2 linked regions of the Oryctolagus cuniculus genome follow. The protein of the gene in region 1 purifies or fractionates together with the protein of each later gene. This does not show direct contact. Links are inferred from orthologs where the notes say so. Each region holds a gene or a part of one and is shown on either strand. Other genes may lie near its edges.

What was found.
Region 2: the proteins of RYBP (region 1) and MGA purify together in Homo sapiens (affinity purification with mass spectrometry; 5 studies listed by BioGRID and IntAct, counting the BioPlex papers as one, with this or other methods). This does not show direct contact. The link is inferred for Oryctolagus cuniculus from reciprocal best matches to the Homo sapiens genes YAF2 and MGA.

Annotation. Positions count from the first base shown.
Region 1 is NC_091441.1:76,867,464-76,878,941, forward strand, and holds the end of RYBP (RING1 and YY1-binding protein), read left to right. Parts: intron 1-5,567; coding exon 5,568-5,744; intron 5,745-5,836; coding exon 5,837-5,935; intron 5,936-6,332; coding exon 6,333-6,585; 3' UTR 6,586-10,306; downstream 10,307-11,478. UniProt on the Homo sapiens protein: Binds to MYC and inhibits MYC-mediated transactivation. Also binds to MYCN and enhances MYCN-dependent transcriptional activation. Increases calpain 2-mediated proteolysis of YY1 in vitro.
Region 2 is NC_091443.1:64,838,230-64,849,707, reverse strand, and holds the end of MGA (MAX gene-associated protein), read right to left. Parts: intron 10,843-11,478; coding exon 10,731-10,842; intron 10,451-10,730; coding exon 10,217-10,450; intron 8,515-10,216; coding exon 8,335-8,514; intron 6,167-8,334; coding exon 4,887-6,166; 3' UTR 785-4,886; downstream 1-784. UniProt on the Homo sapiens protein: Functions as a dual-specificity transcription factor, regulating the expression of both MAX-network and T-box family target genes. Functions as a repressor or an activator.

The sequences.
Region 1 (11,478 bases):
TAAAGAATCCTAATAGAGTGTGCTTAGTTGAGGCTGCTTAGATTGGTTAAGTTGTCAAAGTTGCTCATTCTCAGCTGACAGATTGCCAAGGCAAAGAAAGGTTTAGGGGCATGTAAAGGAAGTGCACAGTGAGCCCTGAAGGACATTGTGAGCTGATTTGATGAAGACATTTTGTAGGTTGATCTCGGGTTCCCTTGAGTACACAAAAGGAAAAAGAAAAGAGAAGGTGTATATGGAAGAAATCTCTTAAAAAGACAAGATTTCGCCTGTATGACCCCAAAGTGGTGTGAATATGCCTATGAAAGCAAAAGGATTTTGCCTTGTGTTTTTATGTTCGTGAACACTTCTCCTTTGCAAAAATTAAAGATGTTCCCCGATAAAGATTTGCTTCTTTTTTATAGCCCAGGCTCATGTGAAATAAAACTAACTTTTTAAATGTAAACAATTAGACGTGTTTTCTTGATGTGTATGATTGACGTTTTATAGCACATTTTCATTTGTAAGCTATTGAAATAGCAACGATAAACCTATAAAATGTTTCCACAAAGATCTGCCAAACTTGTAAGGGAGACAGCACTGTTTACTCTCTTGTATATCTGGTAAGTAGTTTTCCTTTGTGGAGGTGTGTGGGGGGGGGGGTGTTGGTTTCAAATTGAAGCTTAGATGTCAGAAGCTCAAGTGGACATGTTTTGATCTAATATGTCCAGCATATGGTGAAGACTGTTAATTGCTTCTTTTTAAGGTTTATTAGGTGGGAAACTTGGGATGATCCTGGAGATTGAGATGTTCAGCTCCATTTTGAGGGATTGAGTTTCTACCACTTGTTGAAAGTTCTGCCCATTGACCAAGAGCTGTGTACACTATGTTATATGATACTTAGATGATATCATTGACAGTGAAAATTTGTGGAAGGTCACTATTTCTCACTGATGAACTGTGTTAAATGTAAAGGTAAGGGTTCATTCCTTACCCGTGGTATTCCAAGGACAGTGAAAACAAAGAGAGCAGGTTTTCCAGCTCCTCTGCCCTTTTTGTCTGCCACAGGACTACCAAGTAGTCCTATTCTTGATAAAGCAAAGCATAGTGATGCTAATAAAGGCAGTGGATTCTTGGGGAGATCCCTGGCTAAACTGGAATCTGAGTTGACCTGAGATCTCATCCCTGGTATCCTGTGCCAAGTCACATCACAGTCTCCCACCCCCACTCACGAACAGGAAAAAACAAGTCAGAGCTCTTCAAAGCGGGGAGACTAGTTTGAGGATACCTTTGTAGGAGAGTCCAAATGGAGCCAGGTTCAGATCTCGGTTCAGCCACTTAACTGTAAACCTTGGACAAGTTTCTCCATCTCTGCTCCTCAGTTGTCTTAATTTGCAAAGTGGAGATGGCAGTTACTCCTGGAGGGGCTGTTGCTCTGAGTCTAGCTTCCTGATGTGCCTGTGCCATGATGGCTACAGAATGACCCTGCCTTTTATGCTGCAGGTCCAATCTGTAATAGGCAGTCTGGAGAACCTGGTGCAGCCTCCACTGTGGTCACTGGACAGTCCCTGTTCTCCCACAAGCAGTCAGGAGAGCATTGCTGAGAGGCAGGTGGCACGAGCTGCTGGAGCAGTTGGAGAGGATGGCACCTTTATGAGGGAGGGCACACTGGTGGTCCTTCGGTTTCCCTTCCCTTCCCCTTCCAAAGGTGAATTTCCTCACCTCACCCCTCCTCCCAAACCTGGAAGTAATGTTGCACTTGCTGAAGAACTAGTAGTGAAAAATGACTACTGATTAATAAATCCTGTTGCTGAAGAAAAGGTTTTGCTGAGGAAGGGACAAATGATGGCTTCAGAGTTGGGTTGTCACTGGGGAACAGGGTGTGTGTAGTGCAGCATGTGGAACACAGCAGTACCTTTCAGGTGACACAGGTGGTTTAGCAGATGTTCCTCTTTCTCTGGGTAGTAATCGAATCCCAAATAGCCTTGGGCCCTTTTCTCTTGTGAAATTGCCTTTTGTTGTGTAAAAGGGAGGAATGTTAATTTCACCACTTTAAGTCAAACATTTTTTTAGGAGCCAGTGAGAAAGTGTGTATTTGTGCTCAAACACAGCAGTCCGGAATTAGAACTGGAGTTGAGCTTATTGTTCATGTAGACTTTGTCCTACAGATACTGTGCTGTGTTGCAGGCACTGAAGAATTCCAAGGGTGGATTTGCCAGCAGCAGAAGCATTTAGATGAACACCTTACTTCTGTGTACCAGTATACTGTTGCAAACAGTAGCCTTGGCAGCTAACTTTAAGGGAACGATCCGTTCTGCATAAACATACTTCCTGGGTAGCCAAAAACTACTTCTTGTAAACATGCCACATTCATGCCATTGAGAGTAATTCATGAGGTATTAGTAACTTCCTTTTTTGTCTGTTCATCGCTAACTCTCTTTCCTACTACAGTTTTACACACATCCAGTCTTCAAGTTTTATAATCTCTTTGATTTCTCATTTCCAGGTTCGCTCCCCACCCCAAGCCCTGTAGTATCCAACTGAGACAGCCTCCCCAAGTTGACTTTTTTTTTATTATTAAATTTATTTGTTTACTTGTTTGTTTATTTGAAAAACAGAGTCACAGAGAGACTTCCATCTGCTGGTTTATTCCCCAAATGGTTGCAGCAGCCGGGACTGGGCCAGAACAGAACCAGGAGTTTCAACCAGGTCTTCTATGTGGGTGCAGGGGCCCAAACACTTGGGCCATCTTCTGCTGCTTTCCCAGGCGTATTAGGGAGCTGGAACGAAAATGCAGCAGCTGGGACTTGATGCCGGCTCTGTAGGCCATGGCTTAACTGCTGCTCCACAGCACGGGTCCCAGAATTGACCTGTTTAACTAGAAAGACAGTTTACTTAGCATTCCTCTCTTGCCTCAGTAGAAAGTGCTTCTGTTCCTTTCCTCAGGGTTTTTCTGGATGGTTCTCTGTCCTTTGCCCCTTTCTCTTGCTTGCGCCCAGTCCTCCCTCCTTCAGTGTACTGCATGATTCAAGACCTCTTTGCTTTAGAAATCTTCCCTGGAGGGCCTGGCACTGTGGCACAGCAGGTTAATCCTCTGCCTGTGGCACCGGCATCCCATATGGGCACTAGCTGCTCCTCTTACAAGCTAGCTCTCTGCTATGGCCTGGGAAAGCAGTAGAAGGTGGCCAGGAACTTGGGCCCCTGCACCCTTGCAGGAGAACTGGAAGAAATTCCAGGCTTCTGGCTTCAGATCAGCCCAGCTCTGGCCATCGTGGCCATTTAGGGAGTGAACCACCGGATGGAAGACTTTTATTGACCTGGCCCTGAGCTGGCTAAACTTGGTGACAGAGGTGGGAAGAATGAGATCTTTACCATTGAGGAATATGTGGCTGATTGGCAGTTATGGGGCCATGTGGTAAGTGACATCCTAGAGCATCATAGGTATCCTGAAGTGAGACACAGCTTTCAGACTCAGCATGAGTGCTAATTAAGCTGCGGGTTCTCTGGGGCCAGGCATCTGACTTAGCTTTGAGTCTCCCTCTTTTTAGGGTCCTCTTAAATTGAAATCCAGGTACCTTCTCTTGTTCTTGAGTCATACTGCTCTGGAGTACAGTACACATACTGGCCCAATTGAAATTCTCCCTCAGAGTGTAGCTTTTCAAAAGTTTGAATGGTTTATTCATATTATTAACCCATTTCATTTTATTTGAAGCCCTGAGTGTTGATAAGTGTATGGCACCTTCACTCTAATTCACCTGGCTTGGTTAGCCCCTTAGCTGATGTGTTGTGTCTCTCCTGAGTGCTTAGAAGTATTAGAAGACTTTTCTTGTCATCCATATAAGAGACTGCAGAGGGAAACTTACCTGTTACATACAAGCGTCCTCCCTGTGTTTGAGGGGCAGGGGCTCAGAGGAAGGATGTTTCTACTTCCTATGTGTTTGAGTCTCTTGCTCAGTGGTGAGTGAGGCCACTTGGGTTCTTGGCAGAAGTGTGCTTTGAGGCTAGTGGTTTCATGGTGTGCTAACCTACGACCAAGGCCTGTGTTGTTGGAGGCTGATAGGAAGTTTGCTCTGAGATTGCACTTAACATCAGATATGTATCCTTGCAATCTGTGCTGCCACCCAGCCAGCACATAGGTCAACCTTAATGCAGTTGTGGAGTAAGCATGTGTCTGTTGCCAGCCACCTTAGACTCCCTTCCAAGAGATGCTCCAGGAGTAACCCTGCTTCACCCAGGGAATCATGCCATGTACCTAGAACAGCAGAACTGTAAAAAGGCAACCTTACTCTGTTTTCCTAGATGGGTGTTTCCTAATCCTTCAACACAGACTCCCCGCCATGCCTGAGCTAGATCTGCTGCTCTGCATTATTTTCCTCTGGGGGTGGAGAGAGCTGTAGGATCTGAAGGTGACCATTAAGTTGTGGCAGACGGTTGTTTCGCCTTGTTAAGGACTCACTTGGGTTTTGTGTTTGGGAAGTATCAGTAGAGATGTCTGTATAGATGGGAATGTCTTTGAAAACTAACATTACAGTAGCCCCTCCCCTCCAATCTAAGACTCCCTTTTCAATTGTGCACTGTACTAAGTATCACAATGAAGTGCCAGGTCCTCCCGTGCCACCCTGACCAGGACACTGATTGCCTCTTTGTCCTGTGTGTCCACGCTGTATCTGCTTCTCAGCTGTTGGTCACTTAGTAGCCATCTCTCAGATCAACAGTCAGAACAATAGTGTTTATACACACACACACACACACACACATACATAGGCTTTCATTCTGGGTTTTCAGGCATCCACTAGTGGGGGTAGGGGAGAGGGCTATAGTATATAGAAAGAATCCATAGGTATTCTTTTCTCCTTTTCTCTTTTGGGTGTATGAATGGCTAGGCCCTGTGAATAGTGTTTGGCACCACTTAGCATTTGTGAACAATAGTGCTGAGAGCCAGTGTCAGTTGGAGATTGGCACGATATGATGGTTGATGCCACAGTGAATGTGTCGTTTGTCTTGAGAGTTCTTCATGGTGACTTTGAACCTTCACGGCCCTTTGGGAGCTGGTGTGAACCAGTGTTACCTTTTATTGCTCTGGATGTGTTATCTATGCCAATCACAGAGCTGCAGGAGAGCAGACCAAGTCAGAATAATTAGATTGAGGAGTGAATGTCACACTTCTGATTTCATTCTCTTTTCAGGGGATTATCAGTGTTCATTTAATAAAATGAGATTAACCCTCTACAACAGAGTTATTTGAAAGCTGTCAGTCAGTATTATCTTGACAGCTCAAAAGAAGTAGTGTTCTCAGCACTGTTAGAAACACTGTCATGCTTATTGGCCAAAAGACTATTTTACCGTATGGGGCTACATGTGTTTGTGTTAGCACACGTCAGTGTTTCATTTCCGTTGAAAAAGAAACCATACTGTCTCAAAATAATAATGTAGAAATAAAACCATATAATGCATTTTCTGTTGCTGGCTATCAATCATGAAATACCTCAGAAGTTAGGAGATCAAACAAAAAATTCAAAGAAATACTTAAAAGCAAATAATGATACTATTTATAAAGCAAATAATGATACATCTTTTCTTGGTTATTTTAGGAAACCTCGAATCAATTCTCAGCTGGTGGCACAGCAAGTGGCACAACAGTATGCCACCCCGCCGCCCCCTAAAAAGGAGAAGAAGGAGAAAGTGGAAAAGCCAGACAAAGAGAAACCTGAGAAAGACAAGGAAATCAGTCCTAGTGTTACCAAGAAAAACACCAATAAGAAAACAAAGTAAGTCCCTGGGTAGCAAAGTACAGTATATTACTTGGCAGGTGAACCACAAGTATCTTCTAAATGCTGCTTTTTTGTATCCTCTCTTTCAGACCAAAGTCTGACATTCTGAAAGACCCTCCTAGTGAAGCAAACAGTATACAGTCGGCAAACGCGACAACAAAGACCAGTGAAACGAATCACACCTCAAGGTACTTTAATAGAAGAAGTTGTGGTTCTGGTGGATTTGTCGTCATCCGGAACTGCAGGGTGGTTTTGTATTTGTGGATCTCTAGGCTAAGAGATACGGGCGGAGGGGCAAGGTGTTTGTTGACCTCTTTATTACTTTAAACTACTTCTCTGTGAGGGTGGTGCAAGTAAGAGAGGGGTAAATTAATAAGAATTTTGCAGTGGATCCGAAGTGCTGCGAGCCCAGCAGTCATTTCCGTGATTGCCAGAGTTGACGCGCACACTCCGCAGCCAGCTTTGTCATGGTTGTTAGGAAGTTTGGATTCACTGCCGTGGTGTCGTGATGACTGTAGGTGTGTTGCTGGTGTTTTGCCAGCATGACTTACTTAATTGACTGTTCTTTCATGGTGTTGCTTTCAGGCCCCGGCTGAAAAACGTGGACAGGAGCACGGCGCAGCAGTTGGCAGTGACTGTGGGCAATGTCACCGTCATTATCACAGACTTTAAGGAAAAGACTCGCTCCTCCTCGACATCCTCATCCACAGTGACCTCCAGTGCAGGGTCAGAACAGCAGAACCAGAGCAGCTCGGGCTCAGAGAGCACAGACAAGGGCTCCTCCCGTTCTTCCACGCCAAAGGGCGATATGTCGGCAGTAAATGATGAATCTTTCTGAAGTTGCACATGGAGTTGTGAAAACTATGAATCAGGGTATGAAATTCAAATCCTCCACCTGCCCATGCTGCTTGCACCCCTGGAGAATCATCTGTGGACATCGACCTCTTAGTGATGCTGCCAGGATAATTTCTGCTTGCCATGGGCATCTGGCCACCAAGGAATTTCGCACCCTGACGATTACTCTTGACACTTTTATGTATTCCATTGTTTTATATGATTTTCCTAACAATCATTTATAATTGGATGTGCTCCTGAATCTACTTTTTATAAAAAAAAAATCTGCTGTGCACAATTTTCCATGTACATTACAACTGGTTTTTTGTTTTTGTTTTGTTGGAGGGAGGGTTGGGAGGGGGAGGGAACTTTTATTTATTGTGTTCACAAACTCCATCCTTTCAGCATATCCTTTTAAGTTTAGTTCTTTCTTCAAGTTATACTATGTACTATCAGTTTTGATATAACTATATATATATAAATATAAAATTATATCTAAAGGGTTATTTGAAACCAATCCATGGCAGCGCTGGTGCTTGATACACTGTGAAGTGAATACAGCATTGAACAGTCACAGAAAGTGCTGAAATTAAATTAAAGTCAGTCTTACATGAAGTGTGTTCCAACCCATGTGGGAACTGGACTCTCATCTGTCTAAAGAGTACTGGATGATATAAAAATATATATTTTTTCAAACAATGTGATCTCAAATTTAAAGACTGCTCCAGATAGCCTGCATTTGCGATGGAATAACTGACAAATCACAAGTGGTTTAGTTGGGGAGGGCTTTGATCACTCAAAAGTAACTAAACTAGCTCCAGAATGCCAAGTATTCGTGTACATTACGGTTACATGTTAACATTGCTGTCTTACATTAGCACTCATGAAAATATGGTATTCTGTAACTCGAATTCCATCCGTTTTCCAGACCTCTACTCATGTCTGAAGGTAAACCTAGAAATTGTCTCTTAGTTTTAGGATTGAAAGCGTCTGAGCTGTGTTTTTGGTCCATAGGAAGCAGCCCCTTGTTCCCACTCTGCACATGACATTGCAGTGGCAGTTGCTCTGATTGAAATGTGTGTGCCTCCATGTCCCCTCACTTTTCAAACTTTCACCTTCCCCAGTTCTGTTGTGAGAATGCTTTGTCTGTCTTTCTTGAAGCCTACTGTGGTTGGTTTTATGGAGCAAAGGTTATCTACCGCACATCCGGTCCTGACGTGGAGCTTTGCAGTGTTCAGAGACATTTCTCAATTCCCTGCTGTGGGAAGAACTCAAGTAGCGAATGGCTTGAGCTGTGGCTGCCAGAGGTGCCGGGAGAGCTCACACTGAACTGTGAGCGCCTGTGATCTTTTTCTTCCTCGACGTAAAGATAGCTTGAGCAAAATTTTCAAGGTTTTCACTCTTTTTTTTTTTCTTTACTGTCTTGAAAAAATCAAAGACCACTAGGATGATTCCACTTCTCCTCATTCAAACAACAAATTCTTTCGCTTCGCTTCTGTTTGATTGGAGTCTCTCTTTGACTTGCATTCATACCGACGGAGTTTGTAGTACTTCCGAGTCATTGCAAGCATGAGGACTGATGTCACCTTCCTTTATTTGGTCATACCTTTAAGGGCTCACGGGAGGGCAGGTAATGTAATGAAGCACCATGTTTTGGTGTGAAAAGCCTGGTTTGCTATTAATCAGGATTAATTTCTGTCTGGAGGCAACAAGTTAAAAAAAAATTAACAGCTTGAATTGAGTAGCCAACAGGAAAGGTTCCTTTCACATTTACATTAAAACTATTGTGCAGTCACTGATGTTCCATACTTTAGATTCTGTTCTGGAAGGTCTAGGTAACGAAGCAGTGCCATTTGTTGCTGTGATCCTACTCTCAAATGCATGGACAATGTTCCCTTCTTTTTAAAAGTAACGCTTGTGTCTGGGATGCAAGCTATGCTTATCTTTTTAAATACATTTTTAAAGTATTTATTAATGAACCAAAGGAAATTAGATGCTTCCCATAAGCATCAGAATATATAATACATAGTAATTTGACTATGAATTTTAAATCCACATTTTAATATTAGTGGGATATTGCAAAGACATTCCTTCTAAAATTTTAATAGTCCTTTTATTAAGGGTCTCAGGGAGGGTAAATTAGTCAGCCATATTTATTTTCCAGAGGTGTAAGGGATTGCTAAGTTTTTTAATTAACTTTTTAAAAGAAAAAAACTTAAATACCACCAAACTCATATGTGGGTTGCACTGCTTTTTGAACCAATTAAGTGTTGGTATGCACTTTGTTCAGAAATACTGTGTACTTTTTCAAAATTAGTTTCATGTAAAGTGATTGGACCCCCTAGATTAGTGGAAAAAGCTGATTAACCAGCTACTCATAGGCTGCTAATTAATTCATTGCCAATGTCTTGGTTCTTCAGTTTTGCCTCCGTGATAAATTAAAGAATGGGGCGGGGTGGAGGGAGAGGAGTAGCTCTAGAACAGGTGGTAGGAGCGGCAGCCAGTGGTTGGTGTCATAAGCACTCAGGTGAGAGTGCGGAGTACCCCTCTGCTGCTGCTGTGCGTCCTGTTGGCATCGCGAGGGGTAGGGACCTCGGACTTGGGATTCCTGAGATTGATGACATCCCTCAGGCATGCATTCTGGAAATGGAATTCCTGTAGACTTCGCATTTGCTGTTTGCCCTACAATTAGTAGGCAGTGCGTAAAAACACTAGTGTAGATGATGAGGAGATATATTAAAAGAGGACCAGAAATATTTGGTATTCAGTGGCACAGAAAGCAGGTTACAAGACACAACAAAAAGCACAGTGTTAACGCTTGCAGTTCCCCAGTTGTTTTATTACCACACGATCGGTCACGTTTGTGCGTGCATGCGCACACACATAGCTTACCTGACTTGCTCTGTTTAGTCATGCAGCTTAAAAAAAAAAAGACATCTTGACACCCACAAAATATGTTAATCTGAACCTTTCTGTTTCAGTCTGGTTATTTAAACAATATTGGCGAAGCTTCTGTGAGTTTAGTTCCACTAAGACGTTTCACCTGCCTTACCAAGACCATTCTCAGTCTACTTTTTTAAGCTACCATATCTTAAATTATTGAAAGTTTATTAATTGCTGAGTATATAATAACCTTTGCTTGTATGTAACCGGAAATGGTTTAAGAGCCAACATTTAGAGTATGACAATGGAGCTGAACAGTTTTTAATGCGCAAGCCGTTCTGTTCTTGTGTATGACTTGTAACCTTAATTTACTGTGTAAAGATGGTTACATTATTTCCTTAGCTTTGTTTGTTGGAGACAAATAGAGAATGCTTGTTAAGTATGTCAAAACATAATCTTATCTTGTGAATTTTTGTCAATGTATTATACGAGCTCTATTTTTCCTTTGCCCAGAAAGACAGCTTGTATAGCGCTTCTGGAAGTTTCTGCTCTGCAGCGTCTTTAGAGCGGGCGGTCTGTTGGGTTTGGTTTTCCTTCATGCTAAAGTGTCAGTTGGTGGTTTTGTGAACTGGTCAGAAATTCACAGGTCTTAAAGGTTTGGGGGAGATTTATATTGGACACTGCTCTTTGTCTAGCAAATAAAAGATGTTAATATATTCCTGTTACTGGCATGTGCACGACCATGTTATTAGAAGCCACTTTATCATTTTCCTGCTTTAAATAGAAATGTCTATTTATGAATTCTGCTTGTAGTTTTTTCACAAATAAAATAGTAAAATTTACCTTGGAAATCTTTATTATTTTTGCATGTGTGGATTTTAGCCCTTAGCAAGAAAAAACAGCTCCTTGTACCCAGAAATTCTAACTTAGAATATTTCCAGTTTGACCAGTTTTTTAGAACTTGAGGTGTTGGATCAGAAGCTGAAGTTGCTTTGGGTGTCTTAATGTGTGTGTGTTTCAAGGATGCCACGAAAGACATCGCTGAGGAAGGGAGTGTGTCCTACAGATGGGGCGCGGTGCTGTAGAGAAACGGGGGTGGCAGCTAAAGGTGACTCGTCCAGGGTTCGTGGGCAGTTGCATGCAGGTGGCGGGCCGAGAATAGCAGGCTGGCACTCAGCCCACCCCGAGGCCCTGGAACCTACTGGGAATCCGGGAACCACTTAGATCCGTCCCTGGGTACTCTTTGCCCTGGGTCTGCACTTGAACTGGTGCTGCGAGGAAGACGGTGAATTGTGCAACAATGTGTCCTGGTGAAACCTAGTGCAAGCTCTGCTTCACAGCCTTCACAAGTGTGAGGAGGGCTTGAAGGGGAGGCGAGGATGGGCCACAAGCCACGCTTTGCACACCGACAGATAATCTTACCCTCAGCCTTCTGTTTCAGAGGGTACCTGAGGGGTCCTTTGTGAGGGTGCCCACTGCTGGTGACATCCTTCAGGGGATGCCAGGAGCTTCTCACTAGGTGTGGGCGCGCAGTGAGTGCTGGGCCCCTGCGGTGGGAGCTCAGGAAGTCTTGTAACATGGTACAGGAAGGAAGGTAACAGGAAGGAAGGTGGAGGTTTTCTCTGGTCCTCAGCTCAGTGCCAGCAGTGACACTCCTAGAGCAGGGTACCGTGCTCAGGCTGTGACTCCTGGTTTTCTTTTTAGACTGATTTATTTGAAAGGCAGAATGACAAGAGATCTATCCACTGGTTCACTCCAAATGACCACAATGGCCAGAACCAGGCCTGGCTGAAGCCAGGACCCCAAGGACTCCGGCCATCTTCCTCTGCTTCCCCAGGCGCATCAGCAGGGAGCTGGAGTGGAAACAGAGCAGCTGAGACTCAGAACTGGCAGTCCAGTATGGGCTGCGATGTCAGAAGCAGCAGCTTAACCCACTGTGCCACGATGCCAGCCCCTCACTGTGTTGGTTTGGATGAAGTGTGGAATGATGTTTTTTGGCTGGGGAGTGCCCAGG
Region 2 (11,478 bases), on another chromosome or scaffold:
CCAACTTCACCCATAAAGCAAAATGTGCTCACATGAGTTGTCCCTAATCGATTCCAGATCATTTTTGTGTGCATCAACAGTTTTCTCACTTAGTATTTTTCTGACTTAGGTAACCACTCAAGGTAAATGTGTTTACAAAGTGTCATTGGTCATTTCCTGTCCCAAGCTACTCTGGCTTAGCCCTTTAGAGAAATGTTCCCCCAGCACAGGCAAATCCCAGCTCCTCCTTTCCTTGTCTATGATACCGTAGATGACAATAGCTGAGAACACTGTAATAATTGGTTTTATGTCTGGAATCTGGGTACTTGTAGTCTAAGACCAAAACTACACATTCTTAATTCTTCACAATCCATTACAACTTTTTTAGTCTGGGTATCATGCTGCCTTTGAGGTGCCAGTATTAGAAAAGGTTGTGCACTGTTTCCAGGCTTCATGAATTCATTCATCACAGAATCAAAGTCCTAGGTCCAGTGTGAATGTAAATGTTAACTTTTTTCTACACTAAAATTAAATACTTGCCATCCTACCTTCCAAATGCAGTTGAACTTTACATAAGTATTTTCATCATCCATATGCTACTTCACTTTTATTCTGCTTTGTGTATGTCCTAAACATTTATACATGGTGTCAGATTGTCAAATTTTAGATGTATGAGAGGGAAGAAATAGATGGTATACAGTTGTTTAGCATTACGCTAAATCAAATTCTTTCATTCACCCTAGGCTTAACATGCAAATAAGGTGCAACTGTAGGATTCTGGGACACTAACAGGCTAGAGTAAACATTTACTCATCAATTCAAATATTTATTGAGCACCTTTCCATGCAAGGCACTGTGAGACAGCTGAGACCAGTGAATGCAATTGCAAACAGGATGGGTCGAAAACAATGCTCCCAAGGCTGCTTTCCTATTTAACAGAATCTGTTCTACCAGCAGAGTTTACAGTAACACAATTTAATAGCCTAGATTTGTCCCCAAAATTTCCAGTTCCCATGGGGTGCCTCCCCACCCTCTAACACACCTCTACTACTAGTACTCAACACTTAGATGCCTTTGTGGAGCAGTTCAAATTTAATGTACTACAGGTATACCTCAGTCTAAAAGTACGTATCAGTTATTTCCATTATGCAAAAATGCATTTTAACTTATAACTTTCTTGAACTGGCAGTGAGTTTGAATTCTTTAGCTTTAGTTTTCTGGGCACTCAGCCACTTGTGAAATTTCAGTATCAAGAATACAATGACATCAAAGTACTGATGCCTTTACAGCACTTTCTTCAAAACGAATGATTCTGTGCAAGAAACATATTCTGATTCTTGGTTATCTCTATTAAAGTACCTGAAAATGTGCTGCCTACACTGCATGTTTTTTGGGTTTTGTTTATGAAATTTCTAGGAGTGAGGAACATGAACTATCACTATTTTCTAGATCAGTCTTCAAATTACATTTGATTCTCATTTTGCTTCATCCCATCCCATTTCAAAAATTTTAGCCAGTAAAAAAAAAAAATTTATATTGCTAAACCCTGCCCAAAATAATATATGGATTGTTTCATTTTCTTCTGTGTTCAAAACATTTCCATAATTCTGGAGAAAAACTTCATGAACTTCAACTTCATGAACTATAAAATTACACAAAGTGAACAAATTTGTAAGAAGCTTACATAACGGAGCTTGATCTATTAGTGACCTTAAATAGATTAAGAGTAGTTCAATGTCTAAATTTAATAAAATCTCTTCGTAAATTATGAAAATAATTAACATGTAAGAGGGTCTTCAAAAAAGTTCATGGTAAATGAGGATTATGAAGAAACTATGTACCCATCTCAAACTTTTCTCCAACAAAATAAACCTCTCGATCTCATTTTCCACAAACTTGTTAAAGTCCCCTCCCCTATCCTGACTTAAGAACACTTACTTGTCTAGCCACTAAGATTGTGTTCACATCTCATTATTCTCCAAGGTAACAGACTGGAGGAAGACTTCTGAAACATACTTGCCATCAAGTTGTACAAAATTTCAGAGCCTTCACATAAAACAAGCTTTAAGGATTAGAACACCGAAAACCTCCCCCCAAATGGCATGTCAGAAACTTCTGAGAACAGGAAGGAATTCCTATAATAAAACTACTTCAGTGGCACCTCTCTCAAATATACCTCAGGGCATTAGAATTCTTTATTTCCAACTCGGCACAGACCTCCCAACACCAAGTCCTGCTTTAAGTAGTATAACTGATTTACTTCAAGTTTATATTCTGCCTTTCAATCACCAAACTTCTTCTGTTCTTCGGTTTCTAAAAAAATAGTCACTTTTCAAAAGCAGAAAAGGAAAGATATATATATATATATTTAATATATAAAAGGAAATGCTAAATCTGGCATAATTATATTCTTAAAAACATTCCATTTATTTACAGATGTATATAAAAAGGCGAATTATTGGTGTAGTGAGATCATGCTTCTTAAAAGAGGGTGAGAGCGCACTGTCTTTCAGGTTCCTCAACTCCTCTCACTCTACATCTCAAAATCACATATGTAATTTTCATAATCAGTTTCTCCTGGGTCAACATTAAAGGGGAGGGGTTTTTGGAGACTTCAGATTTTTGTCAAAGACTACACAGCCTGTTCTAAAGACTAAGCCCTTCTCAAATTAGCCCTGGCAATTCCTAGTTCTAAGAGGTCTTAAGAACACTGTATGTTGGGAGTTTGCAATGACATCTGCAGCCTTCCCTGAACATCCAGAATCACCCCTCATTTCCACCTTTGTACATCTCTTATAAACAGTAAAATAGCCTCCAATCGATAATTATGACTGGTTTGCTTATTTTCTTCTTCTTATAAAAAGGAAAGCTCAGAAGCTAAAATGTTCAGAAGCTCAGAAGCTAAAATGGTCCTTTTCCTGAGGATTACTCACTTGCCTGCTCTTTGACCTTCAAAAGCCTTAAGAGCCTTGGGAAGTCAGGAGGAAACGGGAAGAGACAAGCAAGGAAACAGTGGGAAACTGCCATTACCTGGGTTAAAGTACTAGCATCTCCAAGGACAATTATTAGCAGGGAAGACAGGTGCTGGATTCCTTGGCTAAGGCATTGAATGAAATCTGCTGGGTAAAGAATGAAAGGGACAATGAGAAGCTGAGGAGCACTCTTTACCTACTTCATGTTTCTATAGCAACCCTCAATGGAGGAAAGGTTACTAAGTATTGATGAGCAAGCCTAGAAAGGTAAGCAGCATAAAACCAACAAAGAATGTGCTCTCACTTCAATTTGCAGAAGTTTCCCCACCCTTTTCAATCTGTTAATTACCAGAGTTAATAGAAAGGGAATCAAATATGGAAGTAACAATTCACTGGCTAGATACACTCCTCAGTTGGTCTCACAACCCAGTTCTGAAGATATGCTGAGTGGGATTTGGGATACAGAGACAAGGGATGTAGAACAAACAGAATCACCTAGGCACAGCCCAGGCACTGGAAGCTCTTGTGTTAGTGTTTTACAACACAAGCAAATCCTGTCAATGAAGACAGAACAGGGGTTACATTCCAAAATATAATTATTTAAGAAAGGCAAAATGCAGCAGCTAATTCCCAGTCTATACATTTTCAGAATAGTGATTCTTGCCCCTAGGAGTTTCCAAGAGACCCCTCAAGTGCACCATGATTATTTACAAACTAGATAGGAAACATTTCTATACTCAATACAAATCTCATCTTCTAGGTTGAAAACTTCAGCCTTTGAGAAATCTATGAAAACTATACAAAAATATAAATATCTTTATCTTTACAGGCTGTCAGTCCTTCATACCTTGACAGCTAATGAGTGAAAAATCTCTACATATCACTGAATCCATGGTTGCAGATAAAAAATATATCTTGTGATTCAAATACTGCCTTATTTCCCTGGTAGAGTGCCTACTGTGACTTTTCTTTACATCCTGTGCAGGTAATAGTGAATGAAACCTTCAAGCACCAGGAGACTGGTTTGACTCAGGAAATATCCAGCCCCACAATTTTTTTTTTTTTTTAATTTGGCCACTGTCTCTGATCTAGGGAGAAAATGCTTTTCATTTTAGCTATCTCGTGAGTGACATGATTTGTGAAAGGCAGAGGGCCCCCTTCTTTGCCTACGTCCAAAACCAATATTCCCCAGTAGAAATGCCTGGCATGGTGAAATGTCCTTTTCCAACATCCACAAAGACAACAGGGAAAACTTTTTTAACACCTCGAAGTAATTACCTTAATAGTAAAAGTTAAAAGTAACCCTACTTTACCAAAAGGCTTGAATTTATAATTCCAATAGAAAAAGTGAGGGAATGGAAGCTACTTGGGAGACCAAAGAGAAAATTTTGCTGAACAATACTAACTCCTTCACTTTGGTATTCCATGATAATCATTCTCTCGCTCTATTCTTGAAACACCTAAAAACTATCTGTTCTGGATCCCTTTTACACAAGTGCATCATATTCCTTAGATTTCAGACTTAACAGGACAGATATCAGCTACAGTTCAGTCCATAAGAGCCCCCAAGTCTCAAGCAGCTTTTTCTCTTGGGGTGGGGTGGGTGCTGGGAGATAACTAGGAATCACTACAGAACTAGTCTTGTTATGAATTCCTTGGGCAAGGGGGCACCTCAAGTTCAGTAAATGGATCATGTCTTCTTAGGATGAGGGGACCCAGCACCACAATTGAGGTAACACATTTAACATGATCAGAATTCCTTAATATTTCTTGTACCAGGGTCGAGCACCCTACCCTCTTTCTCTATCATTATTCGCTGCATCATCTAAGTCAAAGATCACTGTTCTATGACACAAATAAACAGATGCCTGCAGAGAAAGAAGGTGAGATCCAATTTTCCCTCACAATCTGGCTTCTGCCTGAAGACAAATACTTTCATTTCCCTGCAGAACCTGATGAGGCTCCAGAGTTGCCCAATTTAGCCATAACAGGTGCCAACGTAGGCATCACCTTGCTCTCCCGGCCTTCCTGGTCACTCCCTGTTAAGTTCATTTTATTTCCAACTGACCCAACTTTGGCAGCTACAGGTGCCAAGCAAGGCATCACCTTGAGACTCTGACCATCTGTATCATTAGAAGGATTAGCTACTTTTAAACCTAAAGGTGCCAACTTTGGCATAGGCCTCCACAAAGTATCAGTACTGCTGTTGTTCTCCACGCCAGTTTTCATCTGGAGGATGGGGGGCGAGGACATATTTTCAGGCTCTGTAGTGAGGCCAGAAGTACTCTTCTCTCCATCACTAGCTTTCCTATGGGAAAGGAGAGAGTCCTTTATTTCAGAGTCAATAACAATCTTAAGGACATCTGGCTCAGAAGCTGGTTCTGCAAGTTGTTTTTCATTCTCAGAAAAGTCATCATCTTCCAAATGTAAGAGGAGGGGACTTATGGAGTCACTCTCCCCCTGAACATCAGGTAAATCTTTCAAACCAGGTCCCAAGTGGCCAACCTGGAAAGTTGCTCTGTTCCCAGAAGGAAGTTTACTGATAAAAGCACGCCGAGCATCCCCTGGGAACTCTGTATCCACAGAGCTGGGCAGTTCAGCCATACTAACAGAGTCATCATTCAGCTGTTGATTAAGGAAGGCAATCTCATTGAGCAGTGATGTCAGTGTCTCATCAGTATCATCCTCGTCTTCCAGGTTCGTGAGCAATTCACTGGAATCCAGTTCTGCCTCCTCGATAGCTGATGCTACTTTCCTCAGTTCCATCTCTATGCTGGAGTCCTTTAGATCTTTCATCTTTAATTTATGAAATGGAGACTCCTTTGACTTCAGTCTCTCCCCTCTTGACTCACTCTCTTTCCATTTATAGTGAATTCCTCTCACATCACTAGTATTCTTTTTAGGTAAGAACTCCTGTACTTCCTGTACATTGGAAACGTCAACTATCTGTGGAAAACCAGAATCTTTATTTGCCAGAAAAACCTGTGTTGGACTCAACACCACTCTGCCATCTCTATGATTTCCTTTGGAAGAGATTCTACTCAAATCCTCTAAGGGATTATCTTCATTCCTGATGGTATCTTTCCGGTGGTCAAGTGGCTTGCCATCAGTAACTTCACGGGGATATTTACAGCCATCCATATCTACCAGATCTCCCTCTGTGGCCAGTGATGTCACATTAACGATCCGTGGCATCATAAATAAGTCATCATTTTCTGAAAAATAAGAAAAATTTCATTTAGATCTAAAACAGTGGGCACTCCCATCTTCAATACAATCATATCAAATGACCATCTTCACTAGTTTTCTTTTTCTCCTTAACTTATTTGACAGGCAGAGTTATAGACAGTGACAAAAGACACAGAGAGAAAGGTCTTCTCTCTATTGGTTCACTCCCCAAATGGCCACTACGGACAGCACTGCACCGATCCAAAGCCAGGAGCCAGGTGCTTCCTCCTGGTCTCCCATGCAGGTGCAGGGGCCCAAGCACTTGGGCCATATTCCACTGCCCTCCCAGGCCACAGCAGAGAGCGGGACTGGAAGAGGAGCAACCGGGACTAGAACCTGGCACCCATATGGGATGCCGGTGCTGCAGGCAGAGGATTAACCAAGTGAGGCACGGCGCTGGCCCCACCAGTCTACTTTCATCAAGATTAAAGAAGTACCAATGATCCAGTAAAATCCAACCAAAACTCTTTGATATTCTACCATTAATAAAGTGCTATTTACTTTTTATAGAAATCCTCCCCAAATTAATTCTTGTGCTGAAACAGAAATGTATCTTGATTCTGTTCAATAAATTGTTACTTTCAGTGGAAAATAAAAGATGGCATAGTAAGAGAAAAGGAAGAGTCCTCCAGAGAGGATTTAGAAGCAGGTACAAAGAACTGTTAGGCTGTCAACAAAGGAAGGAAGATTTTAACATACCCTTTTTACCTAAGCAGAGATTTATGGGCCTAGAACCTAAATCATCAAAATGATCTTTCCAAAATGATCTTCCCCAAAAGAGAATGACATTCAAAATGAATCAGGGGGTAACTGTGGAGTGTACCATTTCTGAGTACAACACAAAATTGATAAAATATTCATCAACACCAAGAAATAAAACAATGACTGAACATTTTTTTCACTTTGACATCTTTTTGATTCTTCTCTTACTTCGAATTAACAACAATACACAAAACAGTTCCCAATCCCAGGTAAAACATATCAATCAACACCACAGATTCAGACAAACATCTTTAAAATATATATTTATTTATTTATTTGAAAGTCAGAGTTACACAGAGAGAGAAGGAGAGGCAGAGAAAGATAGAGAGAATGAACCATCCACTGGTTCATTCCCCAACTGGCTGCAACGGCTGGAGCTGCGATGATCTGAAGCCAAGAGCCAGAAGCCTCCTCTGGGTCTCCCACGCGGGTGCAGGGGCCCAAGTACCTGGGCCATCCTCTACTGCTCTTCCAGGCCATACCAGAGAGCTGAGGATTACAAGTCGAGCAGCCAGCACTTAAACCGGTGCCCATATGGGATGCCGGTACTGCAGGCAGCAGCTTTACCCACTACACTACAGCGCCGGCCCCACAAACATCTTCTTTTTTTTTTTTTTTTTTATTTTTTATTTTTTTGACAGGCAGAGTGGACAGTGAGAGAGAGAGACAGAGAGAAAGGTCTTCCTTTTGCCGTTGGTTCACCCTCCAATGGCCGCCGCGGTCGGCGCGCTGCGGCCGGCGCACCGCGCTGATCCGATGGCAGGAGCCAGGAGCCAGGTGCTTTTCCTGGTCTCCCATGGGGTGCAGGGCCCAAGCACCTGGGCCATCCTCCACTGCACTCCCTGGCCACAGCAGAGGGCTGGCCTGGAAGAGGGGCAACCGGGACAGAATCCGGCGCCCCGACCGGGACTAGAACCCGGTGTGCCGGCGCCGCTAGGCGGAGGATTAGCCTAGTGAGCCGCGGCGCCGGCCCAAACATCTTCTTAAAAAAGGCCCTGGGGACAGCACTGTGGCATAGTGGGTAAAGCTGCTGCCTGTGGCACCAGCATCCCATATGGGTGCTGGTTCGAGTCCTGGCTGTTCCATTTCCCATCCAGCTCCCTGCTAATATGCCTGGGAAAGCAAGAGCACATGGCCCAAGTTCATGGGCCCTTGCAACCCACATTGAGGCCATTTGGGGAGTGAACCAGCATATGGAAGATCTTTCTCTGTCATTCTGCCTTTCAAACAAACAAATCTTTAAAAAAAGAAAAAAAAAAGGCTTATCTATTACAAGGCAAATGCCAACCTAACAGCTCTGTATCACCACAGTATATGTTCAAAGGCTTTTTTTGTCACTGTGAGAAACCAGGGATAACTTTCGCAACCTAAGAATACAACACTAACAACATACCTGACTGAGCTATAGCACTACTGGCAACTTGACAAGGCTTTAGATCAGGTTCCAAGAGAGCAGGAGAAACAGTCACCACTGGTCCTGAGAGCATGGGACCTTTCAACGTGAGCAACTGCCCCTGTGGAGTCATCACGAGGTTTGCAGAGGTGTGTGGAGAGTTAGAAGGTGAGGTATTTTCTGTAAAGGAGATTAAAAATTAGTTATGGAATTTAAAGACCTTCAATTAATTTGGAATGAAACCCTGGAGCCTAAGAGTGTCTCTAAAATCACACTCTTACTTAAAAAGGAAAGAATTTCAGTGGCTGGTGCTGAAGCAGAGCAGGTAAAGTGGCTACCTGCTGTGCTGGCATCCCATATAGTTGCCAGTTCGAGTCCCAGATGCTCCACTATCAATCCAGCTCTCTGCTATGGCCTGGGAAAGCAGTAGAAGATGGCCCAAGTGCTTAGGCCCCTGCAGCCTTGTAGGGGACCCAGAAGAAGCTCCTGGCTTCGGATTGGCTCAGCTCTGGCCATTGTGGCCACTTGGGGAGTGAACCAGCAGATGAAGACCTCTCTCTCTCTCTCTGCCTCTATGTAACTCAGCTTTTCAAATAAATAAATAAATACATAAATCAAATTTTTTTAAAAAAGTAAATTTCAAATTCAGTTAGGAAAACAAAATTCAAAATTTACTTTCCTGGAACACTTTTCAATGAGTAATGGTTACCTGTCTACTGATTCTCCTAAAGAAAAGAATTAATTTTTTGAGGAACGGAGCTATGGAACCACCTTTTCAATGGGATGCTTGCAAAAGTCTTGATAGTGAGAAAGGAAGCATACAGAATTCCATCCCTGGGCTTCCCTTCCTATCTATGTACCTCTAGCAAATTAAGTTGCTAGGCTTCAGGGTTCTCTCATCTGTGAAATGAGGTGAAAGAAGAAACGGTCATTAAACTTCTTTTGATTTTTGCAATGTTAAACTATCTCAAGTTTTAGTATCCATCACTATATCACTATCTTAATTTCATATAATACACCAGATTTCCTAATTTACACACTGTATTACCCTAAGAGTAAAAAAGGGGTATGTTCTTCCCTAAGGATATAAATAATATAAAATCGATACAGCCTCACCTTCAAAATCAAGAGAAGAAAGAACTTAAAACCAATTTACTTTATTCCTTAACAGCATTGATAGGTGATCTGATGAAAAATAGAATCTTATGCAAAAACATTTTTTTAATTTCCAATTTATTTGCCTTAGCTATACCAACAGTTCCTCAACCAATCAGCAGAATCATACAAAGTGAAAAAAAAAAAAAAAAAACACTAAAAATATGTGACTGTAGACTGCTATCAGAAATAGGACTTACATGTTATCATGATCTATAACTTCTCAGGATTTGTATAAAGCAAGAAACTAAAATACAGGGGCTGGCACTGTGGTGCAGTGGATTAAGCCACTGCCTGCAGTGTCAGTCAGTATCCAATAAGGGCGCTGGGACTTCCCGGCTGCTCTCCTTCTGATCCAGCTCCCTGCTATGGCCTGGGAAAGCAGCAGAAGACGGCCCCACGTGCTTGGGCCCCTGCACCCACGTGAGACCTGGAAGAAGCTCCTTGCTTTAGCCTGGCCCAGCCACAGCTATTGAGGCCATTTGGGAAGTGAACCAGTGGATGGAAGATCCCTCTCTCTCTCTGTCCCTCCTCCTTTCTAATTCTGCCTCTCAAATAAATAAAAAAACAAATCTTTAAAAAAATCCCAAAATAGTTAATTTTTTAATAGAACCTTTAATTAATTTGAAACCTTTAATTAAAACTAAATTTTTGGCCAAGAGATGTGCAGTACCTAAACTAGACTGATGCTCATCTACATCAAAAAAGCAAAGAATGTCCCTCCTACCTGTGGCCTGGTCTCTTTTTCTGGAAAGAATCAAAGGTTTCCCCCTCCTGTTATTTATAAACATCTGTCCGAGATCTACAGACGATGTACAAGATGCTTCCTGCTGCTTGTTAGTTCTGGGAGACACATCAAACTCATCTGATCCCATCTTCTTTTTTCTTTTTTGTGTCTCTAATGCTTGTTGTTTTGCATAAATATATTCTAGCTTCTTCAGGACCACTTCTTCTGTCTTACCTACAGGTTGATAATGAATAAATGATCACTCTTTGTGTGACTCCACGTAATAATGAGAAATATAGTCAACTTGAGTCCAGCTGACTTAACTATATTGTCCAATACTATGAAAAAGGCAAGAGTGACTGCAATGCAAAGGAAATATCCCACCCAGTCAAAAGATAACTCTGCTGCAAACTCTGAGAGCAAAGTCTTACACTAAGTGTATCTGAAAAGTCTATTAAGGATTCCCTTTGCTAAACTTACTATTAATTTACCACAAGTAATTTACATATCTTACCTGAAAGAGATGATACTTTCCGTATCAGAATATTCCGTTTTCGAGTCAGGAGATTTTTCTGTCCTATCAATTTGTCTGCCTGATCTGTTAGCCCCTGAATTTCACTGAACGCCTAGAATAGAAATAATCAGGTCAGTTAACCTACTCTTTCCTCAAAATAGGCAAAGCCTACATAATTTGTTTAATAATAAAAAAGTTCAAATATTTTAGAGGACTCCATAGTACCATTTAAAATAATTACTGATGTTTCAGAAACTCCTTTTTATAATTCTCCAACTTAGACTTTGGTAATCAACTTTAAAATAAATTTGGCTAAAATAATTCTGCTCTAAGTGGATAAGAATGCTTACTCATACTTCTCCAACTTCTACTTAAAAGCAATTCAGGCCGGTGCCGCGGCTCACTAGGCTAATCCGCCTGCGGCGCCAGCACCCCGGGTTCTAGTCCCGGTTGGGGTGCCAGATTCTGTCCCGGTTGCACCTCTTCCTGTCCAGCTCTCTGCTGTGGCCCGGGAAGGCAGTGGAGGATGGCCCAAGTCCTTGGGCCCTGCACCCGCATGGGAGACCAGAGGAAGCACCTGGCTCCTGGCTTTGGATCGGCACAGCACGCTGGCCGTAGCAGCCATCTGGGGGGTGAACCAACGGAAGGAAGACCTTTCTCTCTCTCTCTCTCTAACTCTGCCTGTCAAAAAAAAAAAAAAAAAAAAAAAGGCAATTCAAATGAAATTATCTTAGTGGCTGACACTGTG